Nothobranchius furzeri: one gene and its partners. The protein of the gene in region 1 interacts with the protein of each later gene in a pairwise test. Links are inferred from orthologs where the notes say so. Each region holds a gene or a part of one and is shown on either strand. Other genes may lie near its edges.

Region 1 (2,390 bases):
TGTCAGATTTGTTCTTCGTTACTACCTCTTTAGGGTTTACATCAGCACTGAGTCAATGACTGCAACTAATAGTGGGGTTTATTTCGAAAATATATTTTGATTAGTTTAAACCAAACGAGCAAATGTATACTGATTGAGAACATTTCAACAAAAGCCTATGACATTTTTGAATGTATCGTGGTACTTAGTGGTCAATGTATCCTGTCAACAGAATATCATATTTAAGCACTTTGAAATTTTCCCCTTTAAGATGTTTGATAATCCAGGCTAAGTTTTAATCGTGGTTATCTCCTGTTAAACTTTTTCGTAGCACTTCCAGTGGTTTCCTTAGTTTGGTCGATTTTCGGATGGTGGCCTGTGAGGTCCATAGTGATAAAGAAAACACTGGTACGTCAAACCATCTATGGAAATATTATATATATATATATATGTTTTGTATATTACAGTATTTTGTAGACACATTTTCCAAAGAGATATTTGTTGTATTGTTCATCATTGGGATACACTCAGATTTACCTTAATAGGATTTTAGCAGCTTTCTTCATATTTGACTGTGTCTCATTTAGGTGTAAGCCACAAATATAAAACCAAAGTCTATGTATTTTGTAAAATTCTGTCTTTTATAACAAATAAAGTGAACTATAACTTAGTTATGCCTTGTTAACTGTAGTTTGAAATGGAGCTTGTCACAAGCTAGTTGTGGTTGGGTCATTCGTCCTCTTAATTATGCTCCAATGTCTTGTTTCCCATATTCAACAATAAAGGTTTCCTAAACAATCTGGTAACTTCTGTAATTGTGTTCAGATAAACAACGCTTGTCAACGTGTCACATATTTGATGTTACTTTGCAATGGGTTTCTGATGGCATTCTCAGACACGTAAGAGCTTTAAAATCCATCGTCTGACTCCTCATCCCAGCTGCACTTTTCTTGAGATTTTTTGCCAAAGTCAACTTCAAGGTCATAAACAAAGTCTGGATCGTCTTTGTGCTTCTTGTTCATCTCAAACAGTTTGTCCATTTGGCCCTTCTTGCGAGCTAAGATTTCATCATCCAGCTTGTTCAGATCTTCATCTGCATTCAGCTGGAATGAGGCGAGGCTGTGCTCCAGACTGAAGCCCTGCAAGTGATCTCGCAGGATAATGTGGAGTTTCTCCAGCTGGCTCTGGGAAACTCGATCCAGATAGTCCCTGTGCCTTGGGTGGTTTTTCAGATTTTCAGCAGCTAGGCTGCAATCTGAAAGAAGAAATGATGGAACCAAGGTTAAAAACTTCTTCACCGATTGACCAGGTGTTCTTAGCTTGTAATTGAGGCACACGTAAAAGGGTTAGTTATGCTGTGTTCCAGTGTTTTGGTCACGTATCAAGTTGTTGGTAGATATTTAGATCCAAAGAATTCATCATCAGGTTGGTGAGTCTGTGACACATGAATGTAAAACCCTTTTGATGTTTAGGTCCTGGCTTCATAGATGTTTTAAGTCATCGATCGGATAGTTGTAGTGCATATTATTTTGAAATATACAAAAAGTACGCATTATTTTATTTTGAAAACACTTTCATCACATGATCGAGTTAGCAGCCATACCCTACAAAGCTCCAGCAGGTGTTACAGCAAAATCAGCAAATTCCTATCACTTTTTTGACCTAAAACTCTATTGGGTTCCTTTTAACTTAGAGGCTTCATTCAAAGTTTAACAAACTCACAAGACTTTCCTGTTTAACATATTAAAGAGACTTGTTGATGGATTTTACGGTTTTTCTAAAATCGCAGGTAGAAGTTGAGGTATGATTTGAAATTTTCAGAAAAATTCACAAAAGTTATAATGGGGAAAGGTAGGAGCGGTGACCCTTCCTTGCTCCATTTCTGGCGTTGTCCCGAGAGAACCGTAGGTCCGATTGAAATCAGACACACGCTGGCTTACAGCTAACGAATATACCTTCGTTTTGAGCTATAATTTATGACTGTAATCCAAACATTGTGGTCGTACGGTTCATTTGTTTGAGAAAATTCAAATTTAAAAAAATGTCTCTCCCCACTCTAAACTGAAAATTCTGCACTCTAACTTTTGAACTTCACATCTTCTGTGAACAACTCTTTACTACCCCCAGACCGTTTGGACTACCAAAACAAATTATAACTCAAAAAGTAGGATTTTTGTCAGCTTTTCAGAATGGGTTTCATTTTATCTGTAAGTGTTACCGTTCTTTCGCTACAAGCCTCAGAAAGAGGAGAGACCCAGCTTTTCCCTCATTGAAACCCATGTTAAAGGAACAGAGATTTTCTCCTCTGATCGGCTTCAGACAGCTAAAATGTTCTCGTCATAGCTTCTAGACAATTCATGGTAGGCACATAAAAATTCACACAGATGACCATCAAAGCTTTCTGCCACTCA
Region 2 (3,658 bases), on another chromosome or scaffold:
GAGAGTCGGCGGTCTGGTGTGGCAGGGAGAGCGGGGCCGGCTGGTTGATGACGACCGCGCTCCTGTTCACGTCCCTGGGGGAGGAAGGGGGGGTTGACAACAACATGGAGTCGTGCTGACCCTGCTCACATAAGCTGTAGTGTCCCAGAGTTCTGGGGGAATGGAGGAGCTGCAAAGCCTCGGGACTCTCATCCTCAGAGTCAGATAAGGCAGCGTCAGGACATCCTGCCATAAAGATTGGTCAGAGAAAGACAAAGAAAAAGAAGGGAAGGGGGAGTCACTCTTCCTCTTGTTTCCACACACAACACGAGCCCCTCTGAGCAGTATTTAGTGCTGCTCCTGAGTGATAACACTTTTACTGTTCACATCTGCAGGGCGTACAACAGATTGATGTGCTGCTCAACTCACCTGTGGAGGCGACGGGAGCCGCGTCCCACCCGGCGCTGGTCACTGTTCCCACCTTCTGCTCCAGCTGACAGATGTACTCCATCAACTCCTGCAAGACAGATTACAAGGATCACATCACAAACCGGGGCAGGACTCCGATAACGGCTTCAGCAGCCATCACCCTTACAACCCTTATGACACCTGACAGCTTCAAACCAAAGTCACATAAAACTGCTACTCCATCAACACAAAAATACAACTTTTATTATTACATAAATACTGCTGTCACTCTACACTACGTACCTGAATCCTTATTTATTTATTTGATGTGCTATAGTGATGTGTGCTTGCTGCTGAAATGCAGCAGGACTCTTGAGTTTACAAAACAGATTTCCTTATTTTTTTGGCAGACGTGAAATTAGTTAGAAGCAAACTCTGCAGGCACATTAACAGCCCCAGAGCCAGCTGCCCTGAAAAACCCACCATTTTATATTGCACTATAAACAATTTATACAGCACAATAACAAGAGTGTAACAACAGAGAGAGGATCCACAACACCTGGTATTTTCACCGTACTTGTAAACCTGCAGGTTGGCATTAGGATTTCTCTAAAACCAAGATTTAAAAAATAAAAATGAAGTTAACAGCAAACATCATTCTATTGTCGAAATTTAAGGTTGAGCTGTGACACCAAATGTACCAAACTGTAAATAAATATACTTCATAGAACAAATGTCTGCAGGCATGCATGTCTGCAATAATATGCAAACATGGGTGATCAACCATAGCATCACACTTCAATGCTTCTCCACACAAGATGATCTCAGTTTAAAAACTCGGGCATGAAAGTCGATGTGCATTCGTTCAGTAAGTGCCAGCCCTTTATTTATAACGTGCAAACTCTTCTGCACCCAGAGTCTTTGTGAGAACTTGGGACATAAACCTGATTTTGACCTGTTTCTCTGCCTGCAGCTGCTCCTTCTCCTTCTGTGCGACCCTCAGGCAGGACTTCAGCTCCTGGAGCTCCCTCCGGGTTTCACTCAGTTGAACCTGCAGCCCAGAAATCATAAACATCTTAAAGTGACAAATGAGGTGTGAACACGTCCCATCAATCCCACTAGAGCTTGTGACATCATGTCCTTCTTGTTGCTATCAAGTCTGTGTTTATTTATTTTGTGCACGTTTTCTCACTCGATTGCAATCTTTTTCTCTTCCAAGCTCAACCTCCAGCTTCACTCGCTCCATCCTTTCCTCCTGCAGCCTCTCCTCCACCCTCTGCATCTCTGTGTTAAGCTTCTCTAAGCGATCATGGTCCCTCTGTCCGTGCAACACACACAGAAACACACACTATGAAACACTTTCTCTGCCACATGTCCACCTATTACCTGAGGCAAGGAAGTAGCTTAACCGTGTGTCATATCTCAACTTGACTCATGTCCCTAATTTCTGCAGGTTTAATATTCCGTACCTCTGCAGTGCGCTGCAGACTTTCTCTCTCCTGCTCCCAGTGGGTGCTTTCTTTTCTTAGGTTCATAGTTACATCTGCGAGTTGAAGAGTGAGCTGGGCAGCCTGCAGACGAGCCTGGTGCAGCTCGGCATGCCCGTGGTCCCTCTGCGACACCATGGTGCTCAGATCTCTCTTTAAGCCCACCGCGGTGCGCTCACTCATGTGAAGATGCTCCCGAAGGCTCCGCATCTCTTTCAGCGACGCTTCGTTCTCCGCCTGTCGACAAAGCACGAGTGTGTTACATGATTCATTTTACACATTCACTTGAAGCCCCAACCGTACAAGCGTGTTTGGAATATGTCTGACCTCCTTCCTGTGAGCGGTGGTGAGTTTCTGTGTGAGGGTGGTGATGGAGTTTTGGAGCTGCAGGACGCTGGTGTCTCTCTGTGCCAGGGAGTTTCTGAGACTCTGGAACTCCTTAGAGAGACTTTTGAGCTCCACCTCTGTCTGCTCCAGCTTGGACTTTGAGATGGACAAAGAAGAAAAATCAAACACGGGCAGAGAGGAGTCCAGCAGACGTGGCTGTTCAGAAAATACCTGCAGGCTCTTCCTTTCATTCTCCTCTTCTTTCCTCAAGGCCACAGCTCTTTTGGCTCTTTCCTTCATCCTGCACAAAATTACTTGTCAAAAACAACCAAACTACTTAGATTAATCTAGAGAAGAAACCAACCAACCTCTCCAGCTCTGTTTCTTTCTCCACAGTCCTCTGAGTCAGGGTTTTGATGTCCTCCTCCAGCTCTCTTATTCGCACTTCATTTTCCTTCTTGGCACTCATTAAAGCAGCTTTCTCCTGGGCTAGAGACTCTGCCAAAGCCTGCCCGTCCTAACACACCAGAGATATTTTATTATGAATATAAGTAACATATCTTAGTAGAGGAACGCTTTTCACTGCAAAAGTGAAGGGAAAAGTCTTAAGCCACCTCCTGCTTCCTTTCCAGCTCCTCCATCTTTTCTCGACTCCACATCAATTCCTCCTTCAGCCGGGCGAGATCACATTCCAACCCTCTTCGCTGTCTGTCCCAAGCCTCCTTGGCCCTCTTAAAGTCATCCCTCTCCATCTCCTTTTGCTTTTTTAACACCTCCTGCTCGTGCAACAGCTCAGCACGCACTTGCAGGCACTCCTGCAGTCGACTCTGTCCAGAAACAGGGAAAACATTCTTGTACTAAATTGGCTGCGTGAGATACCAGAGCCAACTCAACAGGACGAGTGTCTTCTCAACACTCATTACTTATGCAAAGCTGAAGACATACTGATCCATTTTCACATCAAGCTTATTTATTGTTAATGCTCACCTGCAGCAGTTCAGCTCTTGGTACTACCAACAGCATGTCTATGCCTCCATCCTCACCGTGGGACACTTCCTCGAGTGTCACCAGATCGTCAAGCGGCTTTGGTGCACAGAAGGTGAATTTGGAGCTGCGGGAGCACACGTCCCCTTTAGCATCAATGTATACAAACTCATACTCTTGGGAGCTGGGTTTGGGCAGGTACGAGGCTAAAAGCAAAATAAAAGTTTGGTTGAAACAATTAAAAATAGAATATACAGAGAGTCAGGTTTGCAGCTAGGCCTTTACCACCTAAGACACTACAATGTGGAAATGGTGCCGATTATGGTCTGGTATTTGAAACTATTTAAAACATTCTGCAGGAATTATGCCTTAAAAGCTGCAATCTGGCAAAAAGCAATCCATAAACAATAACAAATATAGCACAGCTCATTGTGTTACTTTTGAAGCCATAGGAGCTTCAGACTGCTGCTTTT
Region 3 (3,331 bases), on another chromosome or scaffold:
AATAAAACACACCATGCTCAATGACTCTTGTTTTCACCTCCTCCTGCTCCTCGTTCTCCTTCTGCTCCTCCTCTTCCTGCTCCTCTCTGGTCTCAGTCTCTCGGTCCTTGCTGGGGACCCAGAGTTGGAGCGAGACAATCCTGTCTCAGATCACAGCTCAGAGCTCAGGTGAGCTGCAGGTGTACCCGTCTGTCCTCCTGAACATCATCTGATATTTATTATCATCCTCCACCCAGATGCAATGTGTGTGTGTGTGTATTTGCATGCATGCATGTGTGTGTGTGTATTTGCATGCATGCGTGTGTGTGTGTGGGGGGGGGTGTATTTGCATGCATGCGTGTGTGTATTTGCATGCATGCATATGTGTGTGTATTTGCATGAGTGTGTGTGTGTGTGTGTGTGTGTGTGTGTGTGTGTGTGTGTGTGTGTGTGTGTGTGTGTATTTGCATGCGTGCATGAACGTGTGTGTATTTGCATGCATGCGTGTGTGTGTATATTTTTATGTGTGTGTGTATTTGCATGCATGCATGTGTGTGTGTCTATTTGCATGCATGCATGCGTGTGTGTATTTGCATGCATGCGTGTGTGTGTGTATTTGTATGCATGCACGTGTGTGAATTTGCATGTGTGTGTGTGTGTATTTGCATGAGTGTGTGTGTATTTGCATGCATGTGTTTGTGTATTTGCATGCATATATGCGTGTGTGTATTTGCATGCATGCATGCGTGCGTGTGTGTGTTTGCATGCATGCACGTGTGTGTATTTGCATGTGTGTGTATTTGCATGCATGCGTGTGTGTGTGTGTAATTGCATGCATGCAAGTGTGTGTATTTGCATGCGTGCATGCAAGTGTGTGTATTTGCATGCATGCGTGTGTGTGTGTGAGTGTGTGTCTGTGTGTGTGTTTGCATGCATGCATGCGTGTGTGTGTGTGTGTGTGTGTGTCTGTGTCTGTGTGTGTGTGTCTGTGTCTGTGTGTGTGTTTGCATGCATGCATGCATGTGTGTGTGTGTGTGTATTTTAGATCCTAAAGGCCGTCTGGTCTTAATATAACAGGTTTCAAACCCACTTCCTCTAAAAACGGACAGAAATTAGGATTATAACATAATCCATGAGGAAAGTCATCTAGATGAAGGTTCCAGCAGCAGCTTCGTGTTCTGGATTGGGTCCTCAGATGTTTCTCCTCTGATGGAAGTTTTTAGTAGAAATGAACGTCTGATTGGGTCAGAACCACCGGTTCTCCTCACAGGAAGGTGGAAACGCCCGGGGTCAGGGGGAGTCCAGTCGGGTCTCAGTCCGAGGGCTGCAGACTAGCGGGAGGAGGAGGAGGGAGCAGTGGATCGGAGCCGAGCCGCAGCAGAAACGGTTTGTTTCTTCTCTGTTACCATGGATACTGATTATGTCTCTAAATAATCGGAGTTGTTTTCCTCCTACATCTGAGTTTTAATCTGTGATCAAACCATAAAATAATCTGTTTCTGTTCTGCAGGGGCATCAAACTCCAGAGAGAAAGGCTTCCGTGGGCTGAGCGACCGAACTGGGTCTCTGCATCTAGGTGGGAATCAGGTTGTTTGGAATCAGAAACGTCCTCTGGACCTATTCAATTTCAATTCAGCTCAGTTTATTTCTAAAGCGCCAAACCACGACCAGAGTCGTCTCAGGGACCTTCACACAGTAAACGATCCAACACAGGTCAGGTCATTAACCCAGCAGGTTGCATCGAGTCACTGACTAGTGTCAGAGTATTTACAGCAATCCTTATACTAAGCAAACATGCAGCGACAGTGGAGAGGAAATGGAGTCTTTGTGTTCCTGTTTGTGAAACTTAAACTCAGGTTTCCTGTTTCCACAGATGATGACGTTGAATATGACGATGATTTCAACAGGTGAGATTTCCAGGTGACCTGCTGCTGCGTGTGCTGGTCGGTTAATCCTCACAGATTTGATTTCCTTAGCTTTTTATTTCATTTATTCATGCAAGATTTTCTCGTTCAGCTCTAAACCGCCAGTTTTATTCAAAATAATTAGAAATGAGTTTTTCCTGTCCAAATGGACTCTAAATACCGGGTGAGATCAAATCGGAATCATCGGAATTACTGTGAATATTTGGTACATTATTTCTGGAAACTTCCATATTTGGGTCCAAATTAGTTTACAGGTCTTATAAAAGCTCTAAAGGTTTTGATTTATAAGCATCAGAGTTATAACAATCTAAAGAGGTGGTTTTACTGAGCTCTGAACCAGCCGATCGGCTTGAATTAGAACTAAGTTTGTGTGTTCCAGCCACCGGTCGGACCTCTCCAACGGAGAGCTGAGCATCGGCGAGGAGATTGAGGAAGTTTCCATCGAAGGTCCTGAAAACAGCGACAAGGTGACGAAAAACTCCTGAGCAGCAGATCTGAGTTCAGTTTAAACTGCTGGTTTCAACCCGCTGTTGTTTGTTTGTGTGTCGATGCAGTTTGATGAGTCCACCCAGGACCTGAGCGTCTCTCAGCTCAGCCAGAGCAACGTCGCCGATTATATGGAGGACGTGTCCTGAATCTCCCATCATGCACCTCTTCCTGTACAGATTTATAGAAACGACTAACGAGCTTTGTGCTGCTGAGAGTGATGATGATGATGATGAAAGATTTGTTTCTATTTATCTGGAACTTTCTGAGGAAACACGAGTCGTCGTAACAACAGGAAGTAACTTTTCAGTCTAAAAGGAGAAGAAGAAATTTTCTTCATCACATTTGAATGGGTTCAGCTCTGTGATGCTGTACGGAAAGCAGTTTTACTCCATATTAAACTAAGATGTGAATAATGAAAATAAATTAACTGAATCAAGTCTTTTTTATTGTAGTATCAACTAAATGATCACATGTAGCTTATCAAAGTAAAAGTCTTTTAACATCATTTAAACAATAAAACAAGTTACCTTTCCACCTCATCCCCCCAGAGCAAACAGGAACACCCTCCTCGAGTAATAAAGACCATTCAGCCTCATGCATTCATCGGGTCAAAGTTAAACAACCCTCCTGATGCGGAACAAACATCTGGACATTTCTCATTAAAACGCTGGAAACATCTGGATTTATCCAATAGATCCAAACATTTTACAATAAAACAAAAGCAGCTGTTTTAGCAAACGATCTTAAAATATGTCGCACCTCACAGAGGAACTAGACATGGATGCCCACTTTCACCCGCACCACTAACACTTTAACACCTAAAATGAGTTTATATGCTGATGATGTACTCCTGTTCCTCCAAAACCCAAACAAATGCGGTGAACTCTCCACAATCTCGAATTATACCATAAACTGGAATAAATAAACCTCTAACAGTAA

What was found.
Region 2: the proteins of cep19 (region 1) and calcoco1a interact in binary tests that used the Homo sapiens proteins (3 or more experiments, as listed by UniProt). The two-hybrid records come from large-scale screens. The link is inferred for Nothobranchius furzeri from reciprocal best matches to the Homo sapiens genes CEP19 and CALCOCO1.
Region 3: the proteins of cep19 (region 1) and cep43 interact in binary tests that used the Homo sapiens proteins (3 or more experiments, as listed by UniProt). The two-hybrid records come from large-scale screens. The link is inferred for Nothobranchius furzeri from reciprocal best matches to the Homo sapiens genes CEP19 and CEP43.

The regions. Positions count from the first base shown.
Region 1 is NC_091748.1:41,170,299-41,172,688, forward strand, and holds the end of cep19 (centrosomal protein of 19 kDa), read right to left. Parts: exon of another isoform or gene 1,235-2,390; coding exon 888-1,234; 3' UTR 602-887; downstream 1-601. UniProt on the Homo sapiens protein: Required for ciliation. Recruits the RABL2B GTPase to the ciliary base to initiate ciliation.
Region 2 is NC_091755.1:25,996,219-25,999,876, reverse strand, and holds part of calcoco1a (calcium-binding and coiled-coil domain-containing protein 1), read right to left. Parts: intron 3,392-3,658; coding exon 3,189-3,391; intron 3,029-3,188; coding exon 2,816-3,028; intron 2,719-2,815; coding exon 2,570-2,718; intron 2,503-2,569; coding exon 2,433-2,502; intron 2,358-2,432; coding exon 2,202-2,357; intron 2,112-2,201; coding exon 1,857-2,111; intron 1,706-1,856; coding exon 1,580-1,705; intron 1,439-1,579; coding exon 1,343-1,438; intron 497-1,342; coding exon 409-496; intron 226-408; coding exon 1-225. UniProt on the Homo sapiens protein: Functions as a coactivator for aryl hydrocarbon and nuclear receptors (NR). Recruited to promoters through its contact with the N-terminal basic helix-loop-helix-Per-Arnt-Sim (PAS) domain of transcription factors or coactivators, such as NCOA2.
Region 3 is NC_091742.1:15,825,363-15,828,693, reverse strand, and holds the end of cep43 (centrosomal protein 43), read left to right. Parts: intron 1-96; coding exon 97-168; intron 169-1,249; coding exon 1,250-1,365; intron 1,366-1,488; coding exon 1,489-1,554; intron 1,555-1,851; coding exon 1,852-1,885; intron 1,886-2,282; coding exon 2,283-2,370; intron 2,371-2,457; coding exon 2,458-2,538; 3' UTR 2,539-2,829; downstream 2,830-3,331. UniProt on the Homo sapiens protein: Required for anchoring microtubules to the centrosomes. Required for ciliation.